Linked DNA regions of Nothobranchius furzeri. The protein of the gene in region 3 interacts with the protein of the main gene of each other region in a biochemical or structural test. Links are inferred from orthologs where the notes say so. Each region holds a gene or a part of one and is shown on either strand. Other genes may lie near its edges.

Region 1 (4,891 bases), about 2.6 Mb from region 3:
AGAGAGAGAGAGAAGAAAAGATATTTTCTATAGCGCCTCTCAAGATAACAATGACGAGGCGCTTCACCAAAACAAAACATGTAAAATAGAAAAAAGAATTTAGAAAATGATTAAATATATATTTTAAATGAGCAAAAAATAGACAATTGTGATTAAAAAATGTAAAGAAAGAGCGAGAGTGAATAGGAAAGAGGGAGTGGATCCTGAGGAAGAGGAGAGACAGAGAGGAAAAAAACCCCGACCGGAGCGGAGGCAGTGACTGACGCAGCACGAGCCGTTTTCAGCTCTGTCTTGTCAAATGCACCACGTACGTTACGAAAAAAGTAACTTTAAATAACTTTAAAGTAACTTTAAAAAGAAGCTGACTGAAGAAAACATAGGGAGTACTGAAGAAACGTGAACAGTGAAGCAAGCACAGAGAGATCCGTTACTGTCTGTGTGTGTGTGTGTGTGTGTGTGTGTGTGTGTGTGTGTGTGTGTGTGTGTGTGTGTGTGTGTGTGTGTGTGTGTGTGTGTGTGTGTGTGTGTGTGTGTGTGTGTGTGTGTGTGTGTGTGTGTGTGGATGGACCGGACGCGGACTGAGCTGTGAGCTCCCGGCTGCAGAATTTTGTGTGTAGGGAGGGGCGGGCGCTCTATTTGACTGGCCAATCACAGAGCGTGAAGACAGTAAGTTACCCAATGAGGATTTTCCTTCAGCACGATTACAGATATTTACGAGTTTTACTCGTTTCATGCTCGTACTCGTCAAAAATGCTTTATCCGTACCGGATACTCGTCTGAAACGAGTATCCGGCTCATCCCTACAATTTACTTATCCAGCGCAGTAAAAAACCACATGTGAGCTAATAATTATCATCACAAACACTAAGCTGCAAACCTGGAAATGTTAGATTATAAGAATAGCAACATTAAAGGAGCAATAAGTAAGCATAAAGTAATAATGACATCCTGTGGTCAAATTTGGGTGCTGCAGTCCATTTTTTAAACAATCTCACTGCCATTCTGTGAGTTTAATAGCTGTTGCCAGTTATGGACCAGCAGCAGAAGATTATAGATGACAAGCAAGACCAGACAAGTCATACATATCACTTTTTGTCAGGTGTTTTCAAACGGGTTAAATTCAGAAGGATTTTAGGTGTGAATCTGTTTGCTGAGCTGTGTCATCGTCCTTGTGGTTGTTTGTTATTTTATCTTTGTCTCTGTTTTCAGAGTTTTAAGAAAGAAAGAAAAAAACTAGTGAAATGGATTCCCTGTAGGCTGTAGGGGCTCATTCTTTTAGGATGAGTCTGTTTATTGTTAGGGCGTCTTACTCCCCACTGATTTCATGTTTAATCTGCCTCCCCCAGCCCCACATGAAGACCAGGGTGGAGATTAGTTTGTGTCTCACCTGAGTAGCTAGAGGGAATGGTAAAAGTGGTAAAATAACTCAAAGAGGAAAAAAACCCCACAGGAGGACAGAAGGTTGGAAAGAAGAGACATTGGTGTTGGTTCTGTTTTAACATTTTTTCTTTCTTTTAAGGGAGGGGGTGTTACTGCTGGTGGAGTTTTAAATCCTTTGTTTGTTTTACCATCTTGCACATAGCATAGCATAGCATAGCATAGCATAGCATTGTTTATTTATATAGCACGTTTAAAATGCAGCATTGGAGCTGCCCAAAGTGCTGCACAGGCTAAAACAAAACTCAACCATTACAAGGAGCTAAAACAGAGGATACAAATCTCAATCAAAGGCAGATAAACCATGATGAATACTAAGAACACAATTAAAACAATGATACAATAAAACAAGTCACTGTCTAAAAGCCAAAGTGTAAAAGTGGGTCTTTAAACGAGATTTAAAAACCGCCAGAGATGGAGCCTGCCGAACTCCAATGGGCAATGAGTTCCATAGCTTTGGGGCAGCATGCACAAATGCTCGATCACCCCGCGATTTGAGTCTCATCCGCGGCGTGTACAGCAGCAAAAGGTCAGCCGACCTCAACATGCGCGTGGGCACATATGGAGTGAGCAGGGCAGAGAGGTAGGGAGGTGCCAGGTCATTGAGTGCTTTAAAAACAAAAGTCAGTAACTTAAACTGCACTCTGAAAAAGACAGGGAGCCAGTGAAGACATTCCAGGACAGGGGTAATGTGGCTACGTCGGTGTGTACCCGTCAAGAACCTGGCAGCAGCGTTCTGGACAACCTGCAGCCGATTCAGGACAGAGACCGGAACACCAACGACGAGGGCGTTTGCGTAGTCCAGGCGAGAGGTAATGAAGGCATGAATGACTGACTCCAAATGCCTCCGTTACGCTTTTCGTGTTACGCTCATGTGCTTTCACCATAACAGGTCGTAACACTGACCTTCCTTCCCCATGATCAAGACATATAATATCGTATTGTGATTATTTCATCGTCAAATCCTCATATGTGGCTTATTTAAGTCGAAGCTTGAAAGTTTCGTGATGCATGTCATACTACTACATCAACTCCTACAGGTCAGAACTAACCTGTTGTTTTGTTTGTGCTCATCTTCCTCATCCGTGTCGCTGCTGATGGTAATGATGCTGACAGCGGGGCTGGGTGTGTCAGGGATGATGATGGTCTGTCTGGGGACGTGGTGCTGATGCTGATGGTCGCGAGTGGTGCTGGAAGCCTGCTCCGCTTCATTAGCCCCCCACCCTCCATGGGCAAACCCCTGCGTGGGCGGGCAGTTGGACGCCGAGCCGTTTTGCAGCACGGCGCAGCGAGGGGGAGTGTTCTCCTTCACTCGCTTGGAGCGCTGCGGCGACAGCACAACCTGGGAGGACGACACCTCGTAGGCCGATACGTTCCTTCCAGAAACACAGAGATGAATGCGGATGAGTTTACAAGACTAATGATATTGACAAGGAGGATCAAGGACTTTAGAATGAAGACAAATTCCTGCTGCTGGTGGTTTTTACCAGCCAGAGTGAAGGTTTGTGGGTGTTTCATTACCTGGCGGCCATCTGGTGCTGTTTGCTCTTTTTGGAAGATGAGCTGCTATTGGTTGACGGCTGCCTCATGACATGCGCCACTCCCACATTGAGGGTCTGGTTCGTCGGGAGAGTGACGTGGCCAGTCAATAAGGCCGGCTGCTGCATAATGGGATTATAATGGCTTCCGTGGGGGTGGGAATTCCTGAAATAAAACACAGTTTTGGTTCTGACGATTCAACCGCAGTAAAACTGTCAATGCAAAGTGGAAAAAAGAAATACTACTGCACTGAGAAGAGTCAGTAACGCTGGCTGGATAAATAAAGAAGTATTTCCTGTGGTGGACGGTGGGTGGCAGCAAAGACTGAATGAAGACGAAAATGAGAAGAGAGCAAAGAGGGAGGGCAGAGGAGCTGACACCAGCAGCTGCGGAGCGATAGCTCTGCAGAGGAAGTGCGACACTTTCCCAGCGTTCTCTCTGAGGACTACAGAGCTGCCACTGGACAGGAAGGGAGGGAGAGACTGTCTCGTCAGAGACGGACAGCTCTGAATACACGGCCCCCAGTAGTCCTCCATTTGTACAGATTACTGTATATACCTGCATCCCCTTAAGTCCCTGCACATATCCTGTCCCATCTATCTGTTTATTTATCAAGTTAATTAAGTGACAGGCCAGAGGCTTTGTGACGTCTCCACGTAGACATCTAACCCAACTCACGGGGGCAAAATGGTTCCTATTTGAGCACCAGCCTTTATTTGCTCTGAATGATGAATAAGTTGTTTAAACAAATCAGAACTTATGAGAGTCAATGGCATTTGTGAAAGTCCTGTTGCTTACCTCCAGTTGGCGAGAGTCTGTGTGCCGCTCATGGAATCAGGGATGACAGTGGCGTGTTGGACTGAGGTGTGGGTGAGCTGCTGCCACGCTGGAGGCAGCAGGATCTGCTGGGTGCCGCTGGGCCAGGCCTGCTGAGGAGGGGGCACAGGGTCGGCGATAAACAGACATTTAAAGGTCAGCAGCAGCAGACGCGGAAAAACACAAAGCTGCCATGAAATAAAGCATTCAAAAAGTGTGAAAGAGGCTGCGACGTTTCCTTTCAAATGATATGAAACTGTGAACAAAGGGAGCTGGTTGAGTCTAGCCCATTTGTAGGCGAGGGAGTAAACCTAGCCAAAAATATCATACCTGTTTCAAGGAGACATCTGTCAGGAGAAGAGAGACGGCCTGGATTTGATGTTACAACACCTTTTTTGTGTGTGCCTGCGTGCATGTGTGTGTGTGTGTGTGTGTGTGTGTGTGTGTGTGAGACTACATCTTTGACTTGTGTCAAATCAACCTAATTAAAATCCTAGATCTATTCATGTTGCTCTGAAAGAGGCAACATTGTATTTGTGATGCTGAATAAAAGGACTAGATGGTGTAACATGCCCTGAGATGTGCCACAGGGAGTGTGTGTGTGTGTGTGTGTGTGTGTGTGTGTGTGTGTGTGTGTGTGTGTGTGTGTGTGTGTGTGTGTGTGTGTGTGTGTGTGTGTGTGTGTGTGTGTGGCCCTAATAGTTTAATGCAGTTCTATTGATTAGCACTTTAATGTCCGGACTAATGAATTGTTCCTTTAATACCGTTTGCGCATCTGTTTACAACACCATCACTATGCGCTGCGGCACACTCACGTTTAAACCAGAGACACGGACAACAGAGGAGCAGAATAAACTCATCCGTGCATGAAGCTACTTATTTATCTTCTTACTGTCAGCTTTGTTTTTATGCATCCTTCCGAGTTTCCCTGTCCTTTCTCCGTTGCTTTCCCACACAGTCTTTTTTTTCCTGCTTGGGTCGTGTGGCTTGTGGTGGAAAAGTCCAGAGCTGCAGGGGGTGGGTCGTCTGTGGTGTAACATGACTGCTTTGTCCCTGCAATGATGACTGGCGTCCCTAATGGAACACGCTGCAGCTAAAG
Region 2 (4,891 bases), on a different chromosome or scaffold from region 3:
GTCTCGATTCACGTCCAAGTCAAAGACAACCAAGTCCAAGTCGAGTCCAAAGTCAAAGATGTGGAAGTCCAAGTCAAGCCTAAGTCTTTAACTTTGAATTTTCAAGTCATAATCAAGTCATTTGTCAACTTTAATTTAATGGCAATGATAATAAATAAATAAATTCCAGAAATAAAGCTTCTTAAAGCTTCATTTATTTGCTCCAACAAGCAGAAAGTGCAACTGAAACTGTTTATAAACAAAGTGCTGCTGCATTTAGCAGAACAAGATCAAACCCAGAGCCAAGAATGATTTATGATTTTTGTCCATGTCGAGTCACTTTTGTGCTAAAATATCAAATATGCTCAAGTCATCATCAAGTCAACAGATGTAAATCGATTCAAGTCGCAAGTCATTGGCGTTCAAGTCCAAGTCAAGTCGTAAGTCTTTATACATTTTATCAAGTCACGTCAGAAGTCATTCAAATAAAGACTCGAGTCCACGCCTCTGCCATGCACCCTCCAGAAACCCCTCAAGAGTATAGAGCTGGTCCGGTGTTCCCCGGCCAGGACAAAAACTACATTGCTCCTTCTGACCCCAAGCTTCAACAAACTGACAGACCCTCCTCTCCAGAACCCTGGAATAGTCCTTACCAGGGAGGCTCAGGAGTGTGAACGCCTTTTAGTTGGAACACACCTTTTTAAGTGGAATTACTGAAATAAATTGAGTTTGCACCAGATTCAGATTTTTTGAGTTTCACCAAAATAAAAAGGTTAAAATGCAACACTAGCGGCTACTTTCAGACATTTATTTAGTCGAGTTGACTCATCTGGCTCTGTATATCCACTGAACACAGCTAAACTCCACTGCTGTAGATCAACTATATCTGTTTATAGTTTTATGGTCTTTGCACAATCTCAGCAGCTCTATTCTAGACATTTTCAGAATCAGCCATTTCCGGGCTCTGTCATTTTTATGTAAACAGGCTGTTGCTGGCCACGCTAATCCACATCCTGAGTTGCTGCCATGAGGTGAAGAACTTTAGGAGGGGCTCAGAAAACTTCTTAGTGCAGGGGCCTCCTTTGTTCTATGCTAAGTTCCCTTATTGTGATGTCACAAAAAGGGATATTTTCAAATGGCTTGTAGAAGCACCTGGTTTTTAATTATGTCCGGAGGTGTATAGAGTCAAAAAGGGAGATGTTCATAATACGTTGCCTTTATTCAAAATATTTATCATAATGTCTTATCTTTGGTTCTAAATCTGATTTTAGGTTACCATTAGGATCTCCTACTCACCCCAAAGTTAGTCAGCAGTGGTGTGTGAGTGTAGGTTAGCATGGTGTAGCTGGGGCACAGTGTCTGCATGTACACATCAGCAGCAAGGGCTGGGGCAGCAGGGTAGGCCAGAGTCTGAGCAGTGGGGTCCTGCTGGTTGTAGTCAGAAGGAGACCAGGCCATGACAGCAGGTTGCGGAGCAGCATTGGTGACAGAGGACATTGTTTTCCACCCAGCACACAGCAGCCCTTCATCACCAGCTGCAGCCAGCTCAGCTGAGGAACCAGCTGCAGCATCAGAGCCAAAACTTCCTGGGTATAAAACAGTGACGCATAGAAAACCTTCTTCCTTTCAGTTGATGTTTAATAAATGTTAGACACTTACCTTGTGTAAATGATGACTGATTGTTATGAGCCTCCACATCCTAACAAAAAGACAGATTACTTTAACAACAGCCAGGTGTAATGACCTTTAATGACCGGGTGTAAGCAGCATATTTGAGTTTGTAATTACAGCCTGACAGTTTATAAGTGGCTCGTGTCCCATTAGCTCTAATGCAAATCCAGCAATAGACACAAGCCTCTGTTAATGTCTACATCCAACCGCTGAAATCATAGTTGAGTTTGTGACGTTTGCACAAAAGCAAAATATGTTTAATGTTCAAAAACAGACCGCTGTGTAAAATTATTTCATCATTTGGTCTCTGCTGACATGGAACTGACCGAAGATCATCTGGAGGTTTGTAAATGTAAACATTTGGTATTTAACCATTCCAAAAAGACCACAGTGGATTCATGTCTTCCTCAGCCTTTGATTCTCAACAAGCTGTAACCTGATCAAGTTTGTAAACTGATGTGTTTCTTGAAAGCAGCATAAGGTCAGTCTGCAGTCACAGGTAGATTAACTGTTCTCAGAAGCATTCTGTTTGATTTATTAGATAGCAGAAACAAGACAAAGCAAAAAAGCATCAACTGCTCCCACTTCTGAAGCTTGTAGTGTTGGGAAAGTTTGTTTTACAAATGAACTAGTTCAAAGTTCAGTTCACACATATTATAACAAACTAGTCCAGCTCATGGTTTTTAATTACAATTGTTAAAAAGCAGCTGAAAACTCACCTGTTCAAGCTGACTTTTGAGTGATCTTCATCACCACCCCCTCCTTATTCTGCTCTTTCTACTTATTCCGCCCTCCCTGGGATCCACTGCTTTCCCTCTTTCCTATTCACTCCCTCTCTTTCTTTGCATTTTTAAATGACAATTGTCTATTTTTGAGACTGACTGAAAACAGTTGCCATAAAACATGTCCCCCTTGCCAGGTATGTTCACAGACCGGGGGGGGGGGGGGGGGGGGGTATGTGGTGTCAGGCACCTGACTGATGTTAGAAGAAGAGAGGTTAAAACTACAGCTTTGACAGGAGGTGAAGGGTTAAAGCACCACGCCAGTACAGGAAAGACAGGTTGCTTAACTTCTCAATCATCACTTTTACTTGAGATCTGAGGGAAGTTGGAGCTCTTTTGTGAGCAGCTGTTTTGTGAGATATGTGTGAATGTACAACCCATTCACTAGATCTGTGGAGTGTGTGTGCTTGTGGGGGAATAGGGGATAGGGGTGATTGAACTTATCAAAGCAAAAAAAAAAGCCATAATTGTTGCGGTTAAGTATCCGAACATGCTAATCAGATTTGTCTGTAAACTGGTTGAACTGAGACATGAGACTCTTCGTGCTCCCTAAACACATCTGGATGTGCACTGAGAATGAGTGCATTTCCTTTGTGCGTGAAAGGACACTTCAGATTGATGGAATGAAAACATAAATGAGGTTTGACTGTAGGCTTTCAAATACTCCACTAGAATTGAGAAACTGTTAGTTTTTTACTCTGGGAGATAAGAGACCAGAGTTTGTACTGGCCAGGACATGTCACACTTCACAAGAGGCTCAAGTGAAGATCTCTGAGGAAATAACTGTCAAAAAACAGACAAGAAAGAGGTTCAGCCCCAAGAATGTGGTGAGAACAAAGTGTTAGAGAAATTCACAATTCATTTAATACAAGCCCAAAAATCATTTGATGCTCTTAGCTTTGGTATTAGCAGCAAATCACGAACATCAATTAACTAACATATAGTTTTATTATATTGATGAATGAAATGAACGACTATTAACTACTATTATTGTTATTTATAAAGTCCAAGAAAAGACCTCTAAGTATGCCCTCAGTGACTCTTTAGGTTAATATCATAGAGGTGGTCCACACATACAAATACATTGTTGTCTGGCTTGATGACTCCCTCTTCGTCAAGCACCACATACACTGAAAAAAATATAAATACAAACAAAACACTTTTGTTTTCACTCCCATTTCTTATGAGCTGAACTCAAACTTCTGAAAACCGGGCCGGTGAAAACTCCGCTGGTGATTGATTCAGCCCCGGGGGGTGAAAATACTATGGCGCCTAAAGGGTTAATGAAGGTGACCAATGTCCCAACCTCCTGGTTGATAGAGAAGGCCATCCCACTCGAGAATACAGTTCATAATGATGGGTCAGTGGTCTATGGTTAGTAATAAACCTCAGCGAGGCACAATAACCCACATCAATCTTACCAAGAAACTGTGCTGAGGCATTCATATAAAGGTCTCCATAATCCAGAATGGACAAAAATGTTGCAGTAACTAGGTTTATTTATTTATTTATTTATTTATTTTGCCTCAAAAGATAAACTGTTTATTTGAAAAAAAAAAGAAACCCAGTCTGAGTTTGAGTTTCTTCACAAGACTATCTATGTGGGGCTTGAAGGAGAGGGAGCCGGAGCCAGACACCAAGGTATTTGTGTGTGTGGACCACCTCTATGATATTTATCTCGAGAGGGGTCAATGAGGGCATACTTAGAGGTCTTTTTTTAGAGTTTGAAAAACAACATTTGTTTAGCCTAGTCAGCACTGAGGACCAATTTTAACTGCAGAAGTGTTCACTTTTATTTTCTGTTCTCTTTAAATTGTCAATATACATGTTTGGTTACACATCCTGACATTCCTCCGTCCGTTTATTATGTTTAATGAATGTGTATGACTCTAATTTAAATGTGTTCTAAGAAATATATTTCCGGCTACATTTTCACTGGAAACAGGAAATATTAGAGTATTAATTTTACATCAGAGTGACTAAGATTTCAGCTGAGTAGGAGCATGGACTTCAGACAAAATGAAAGGTAAGACCATACAAGATTTTCAACCTTAATTACGACAGAGAGAGATCAGCCCCAAAAATAAATTAATTTAAAAAAGTCTAATTTGACCATACATGTTATTTTGTATTGTTGAGAAGTTTGGAATTGATTAAAGCATAGTTAAGATACTTAAAAGCAATAAAAGTAAAACATCAGATTCTATTTTGGGGTCAAAAATGTGTATTCAAATGTTATACTCCAGAAGTGCCTCACCAAGTCGCTGTCCAACCCAAACCCATCCTGAACACGAAGCAGGAACTGATTGCTTTTAAATGGCCCTGCAGGATGTTTCTGTCAGACACCAGCAGGCTTTTACTTAATGTCAATGGATGTTCTAAGCAAAAATAACTTCAGAGGTTTGAAGAAAATTTCAGATGTGTGATCTCAGATGTGACTTAACAAATGTAAAAATTGC
Region 3 (5,476 bases):
TGTGACCTATCCAGGTGTAACTCCGCCCAATGAGTGCAGGAGATGGACGCCAACTCCCTCGTGACAGTGAACCGGATCAAGCGGGTAAAAATAAGGCAAATATACAGCACGTGCACGTAGACATGCACGCTCACACCAGCTGCAGAGGTAAAGGCGGGGCTCTCGTGACGCCATTCCTCCGCCTGACTCCAAACACTAGCTGTGACTGAGACGCAGCTATTCTTAGAACCTCTTAGCTGACTAGCATGCTAGCAGCAGCGGGACTAAATTAGCTCAGAACATTCAGCTCAGCCAAGGCCCGAGTCACGGCCGGCTCCAGAACCCTCCTTTAACCATCATAAACAACGACAACCCAGATTACCGACCATCAGTTCATCCGTCTGACAAACAGAACCACACTTCCTGCTTTTGGTTTCGGTTTGGTGAGATAATTTAGATTTACTTACGGTTGTGATTTAAGTCTGACACAAGAATATCAGACCTGAACTAACAAAGCTTTAAAAGAAGCATTGTGGGCGGACAGACCACCAACACAAACACAGAAAACACATTCTTCAGACAGAAAAGATCTTTTTGCAGGATTTTGAGACTTGACCTCCTCAAACAGCGGCTGTAATCGACAGCTGGCAGCACACACGGCTGCAGCGAGCTGCTACACGCTAATAAACGGCACTGGCACATGTTGTGCCGAGGAGTCGATGCTGCCAAGATAAAAGCAGAGAACCGACACACCTCCCTCAGCGGGAGGTCTCGCCTAACCCAACCTCCATACTCCCACATAGCTCAGGATCATTGTGGTTAGAACGCTCCCCACATGCTGACTTGGGTCACGCATGAGACGGATTACATCAATACTGGTAACTTACTGATGATCAGAACTATTTTGGGTTTTAAAAACAGAAAATCTAGCTTCCCTCACATGAATCAGCAGCCATCAGTTATAAGCACGAGAACCTGCAGCTCAGATAAATTCACAATAACTAGTTATGAGAAGAGGGGGTCACCTCCCGGAGGCTCTGCTACTCACCTTCGTCCATAAGATTTCCAAATAAGGCTTTCGTCTGATCTTGAAATGAAGGGACCTCTGAAAAGACAAAAACACACAAATGTAAAACAAACTCAACTATCTGCTCCCTTCAGTTCAAGCGCTGATCGAGTCCAGATTCAGGTTTCATCCTTGCAGCAAAAACAAGAGGAGCTGCTTTTAATCGGACAATAAAATGTAGAAATAAAGAATGTGGTTAAAACTAAAGTCAGTGTTTGGACAAGGACACTTTAAGGCCCGTGTGTGGAATCAGCTCAGCAGCTGGAGGACAGCAGAAGACTCAGAACCTCTCAGCCACTCACCTGCTGCTAATGGAGCGTCCATTACAGGGACACGTCCATAATGGGCTGTCTGGTGACGCCAGCACATTTCATTCATATTTAACAAACCCAACGCTTCATTTATCTCTTTAATTTTTAACCTTTGGAGTTTCCTTTTAAAAAAAAGCTACACTTGGTACCCTCGCACAAAAAAAAATGCATTTTGGCAAAATGTTTAATAAAAAATTATATAACATTTCAAAAGTCAAAAATCTTTAACACAGATTCTTTCCTTAGCTTCAGTCCTCACCAAACAAAGTAAAATATCTGAGTGTTTTTGAGATCTGCGATGGACTGGCTCTCTGTCCAGGGTGTACCCTGTGCCCGTTGACCGCTGGAGATAGGCACCAACACCCCCACCCCCCTGCGTGGACAAAGCAGGTTCAGAAAATGGGTGGGGGGGGGGGGTGTTTTTGAGATTTAACCCCTTTAGTGCCATGTTTTGTCAAAAAAAAAAAAAAAAACCATTATAAAAATATAAAATGCTAAATCATTTGTGTGTCATGTCCAGAGGACTTTTTGGGGGTGAATTGTGAGGGCTCTAGTCACAAATGAGCATAAAAATATTTTTGGCCACACAATCTCCAAAACATACATTACTAGAGTGTGTTATAAATCAGTGCCATGCCATTTAGAGGAAAAAAGTAAAAATAACTTCAGTCCCTGGTGGCTGCAGGAACACAGTTGGAGTGAAATTTTAAAAAATGTATGGTGATATTTAGCTTTTTTTTATGTTTGAATGGGAGTCAATGGCACAAAAAATTTCTGTGGGACAATTAAAATTGGAATCAGATTTTTTCATTCTGATTCTCCTTTGAGTTCAGTTCCGAACAGTTCATCCTCTTAAAAAGGACAAAAGAATAACCACTGAGTTTGACGTCTACTCGTCTGTCCATCCTTTTGCTTTCTTAACTCAGCGATTGTCTCCGGGATTTTATGATCATGTCATGTCAGGATTCAACAACAAACCTGACCCAAAAACACAGACAGGTAAAGGTGTGTTCACACTGGAACTTTCCCCATTTTCTACACCAACATGTGATGGGGGGGGGGGGGGATTGTTGCATCATTGTTACACCATCAGGTCTGATTCCAATCACACCTAAAGTCGCACCAATTCTTCATAAATAACAGGAAATTAACTTTGCTACTTCAGTTTAATCCACACGAGAATCAAGACTGCAGAGACGTTGGGCATCAAGTCCTTCAGACTGAGGAGACTGAAGGGAGGACGTTTACCCATAATGCACAGCAGCACGTCTAGAGAAAATCTAACAGCTGATGTCAGCTGGTGGAGGACGGCTGGTGGTTTGGGCCAGTTCTGTGGTCCACCAGAACCTCATCTGAAGTTTGGACCTAACCGGCTCATAAAACTGGACAACGACCCCAAACACAGCAGACCTACAACAGAACCAAGGTGCTGCAGCGGTCCAGTCAGAGAAGCTGTGCCAAAATGCATCTGTGCAAACTGGATCAGAACTCTTCCAGAACCGCATGAGAACCGGATCAAATAGGCCAGGATTACTGAGAGTCACTGCTGGGGAGGACGGTTCTGCAGGATCGTCTATGGTTCTGTAGATTATATTCTAGATTAATAATCATATAGTTTGAAGCCCTGATAACAAAACCGGATGTTCTATTACAGAATAAAATCATCATTTAGAGCAGAGATGAAAACAAGCGGAGCTTCAACATAATCATGACTGACTGACACACACACACACACACACACACACACACACACACAAAGCTGTCTTAAAGCGGAACAGCTGAGCAGAAGGTGAGCTCCTCCCTCCCCCACCTCTGACCACAGCTGCAACACCACATTAGATCCATGAGTGGGAAAAGGAACCGCGTAGTTCCAGATAACGGAAGCACTTCGGGGGTTGGGCTCCTTCACCTTTAGGCGTGTGGACATCCCTCGTGGCGACACACGAGAAGAGTCGGAGCAGGGAGTTCCAGGGTGGAGACGGTAGAGCTACGCTCGCTGGCTTTGATTTCACTTGGACCAAAGACATTTATGCAGCGCCCCCCCGCCACATTCCCCAGACCTTTTCCACAGAAACCACACACTGCTGCTGCCCCAAACATCGGATCATGTTTCTTCCTCCTGCCCCTCGGATATGTTGTAGTAAAGAGACGAAGGCTGGGTCCACGCAACAGGAAACAAGTCCTCCAAACCCACTAAAAATAACAGGATGGGGAGGAAAATAAGCTACGAGCATGAATAATTCCTTTATTAGGTGGGAACTGCAGCAGTCTGTCTGTCGGGTACGAGCCAAACGAAAAAACAAAGACTAGGACGATTACACAAAAGGACGTGGAACCGCCGACACAGCGTCGTTTTCCGTTTCAGTAAAAAGCTTCATCCCACCACGCTTCCTCCAACACTGGACAATAATCCATGTGTGCGTTCCACCTCCGTGGCTCCTTGGGCCAGGTTTTCAGGAACTATTTGGCACCAAACTGCAGAAGTGTGTAAAAAAAAACTCTCCTACAAAGCGCTTTTCCAAAACGCTGGTTTGCAACCAAAATGAGAGCAAGACATGGTTCCAGCAGCAAAAAACAATTCCTTCACGGCGTTACGACAGGAATAATCAGAGCCCAGTGTTTCCAGAGTCTGAAGAGGAAAAGAAGGGAAAGTCCGAAATCTCCCTCCCTCCCTCCACCGGTGTTCATGGGGTGTCGTCTCCTGTAGTGACGTAGGTGTCGCGTGTTTGTGTAAAAGAGCCCAGCAGCCATCAGATGTCAGTCCAAACACACTCTTCCCTATTTTCCCATCAGACCTGTGATTTAACGGGCCTGATTTTCCCTTCCCTCTCTGTGCCTCTCACATGGTTATGTCAGCATAAAGCCTGCATATTTCACCCCCACCCCGTGCAGTGCTGTGGTTGTGCACGGCTCAGATTTCAGCCCGTCTCGCTGCAGGCTGCACCACCAGCTGCCCTCACTGACACCAAACCTCACTTTCTCACTGCTTTTCCTTTCCTAGTTTCACTCTTCTTCTCCCTCAGCGTTCCTGCTCCGCAGGTTAAATCATTCCCATTCCAAATGTTAGTCAAACCTCCGGGAGTGTGCCCCAGTCTCCACCTTAAGATTGAACTTTAAATGTTGTGTAAAATCCCCAAACTAAACTAACCGATATGTCCCAGCAGCAGCGCTGAAGCTACAGCAGGACACCATGATGTCACCATCAGCTCAGCCGAAAACAAACACTAAAGACTATCCTCCACTGTACCCTGCTGGGTCTGCATTCATGAGAGACGGGTGGTGATTTTCCAACATTTGAAGAGTCGTTTAAATACACGGCGTCAGAACCACCAGGTTGTGGTAACATGTTCCACTAAGTTGGTTTTAATGCCAGGGATGCATTTTCAACACAACACCTGCCTCCCAAAAGTCCTTCAGTGTTTCTGAGATTGTGATTTTACTTTCAACGCCAGCGGGTAGTTACACCTGCCAGCATACCTGGTGAGCACATCTCTAAACGGATCCACCTGACAGGTGAAAATCAAAACGTCCCGTTACAACTGGGGATGCACCGATACGATACCGGTATCGGTAAAAGTTAACCGATACCAATGCAGTTGCTTGAAAATGGCTTCACTGTAACTTGTCATTTCTGTTCACCTAATATTTTAGTTTTGTTATGATTTCCATTCATATATTTTACTTTTCATCTACCTCACAGTCTTTTCCTGTTGAAAGCAGAGAAGAAAATAAAATCTGTATTCCAAATCATTGCATTTTTTGTGTGGTAGAAGTATCGGTATCGGTAATCGGTATCGGCGAGTACTCAGATCCAAGTATCGTATCGGTTTGGAAAAAAGTGGTATCGTTGCAGCTCTAGTTACAACCTTCTAATCCGCTTTAGAACTAGACTCATTCATAAGCTGATTTTGTACCATTTAAAAAAGCTTTTAAATGAATAAATATGTCCAAGCTTTAATGAACTAATAATTTCCATCATTACATCTGGTGACTTTACAGTTATTAACAGATATTAAGGTACAAAGAGACCGGGCTGTGTAACTCACACCAGCTGAGGGTGATAACACAGCAGAGAGACACTCGCTCGGCCCAGTGTGTCATTAAAGGGGCAGTACGAGAG

The links. The genes of interacting proteins can lie anywhere in the genome.
Region 1: of the proteins of siah1 (region 3) and hipk2, one has a biochemical effect on the other in vitro, tested with the Homo sapiens proteins (4 studies listed by BioGRID, with this or other methods). The link is inferred for Nothobranchius furzeri from reciprocal best matches to the Homo sapiens genes SIAH1 and HIPK2.
Region 2: the proteins of siah1 (region 3) and POU domain class 2-associating factor 1 form a complex in vitro, tested with the Homo sapiens proteins (2 studies listed by BioGRID). The link is inferred for Nothobranchius furzeri from reciprocal best matches to the Homo sapiens genes SIAH1 and POU2AF1.

The regions. Positions count from the first base shown.
Region 1 is NC_091744.1:79,009,143-79,014,033, reverse strand, and holds part of hipk2 (homeodomain-interacting protein kinase 2), read right to left. Parts: intron 3,906-4,891; coding exon 3,775-3,905; intron 3,142-3,774; coding exon 2,959-3,141; intron 2,814-2,958; coding exon 2,490-2,813; intron 1-2,489.
Region 2 is NC_091753.1:21,185,077-21,189,967, reverse strand, and holds part of POU domain class 2-associating factor 1, read right to left. Parts: intron 1,679-4,891; coding exon 1,639-1,678; intron 1,566-1,638; coding exon 1,276-1,565; intron 1-1,275. UniProt on the Homo sapiens protein: Transcriptional coactivator that specifically associates with either POU2F1/OCT1 or POU2F2/OCT2. It boosts the POU2F1/OCT1 mediated promoter activity and to a lesser extent, that of POU2F2/OCT2. It recognizes the POU domains of POU2F1/OCT1 and POU2F2/OCT2.
Region 3 is NC_091744.1:81,653,514-81,658,989, reverse strand, and holds the start of siah1 (E3 ubiquitin-protein ligase Siah1), read right to left. Parts: upstream 3,614-5,476; 5' UTR 3,384-3,613; coding exon 3,266-3,383; intron 1,085-3,265; coding exon 1,028-1,084; intron 1-1,027. UniProt on the Homo sapiens protein: E3 ubiquitin-protein ligase that mediates ubiquitination and subsequent proteasomal degradation of target proteins.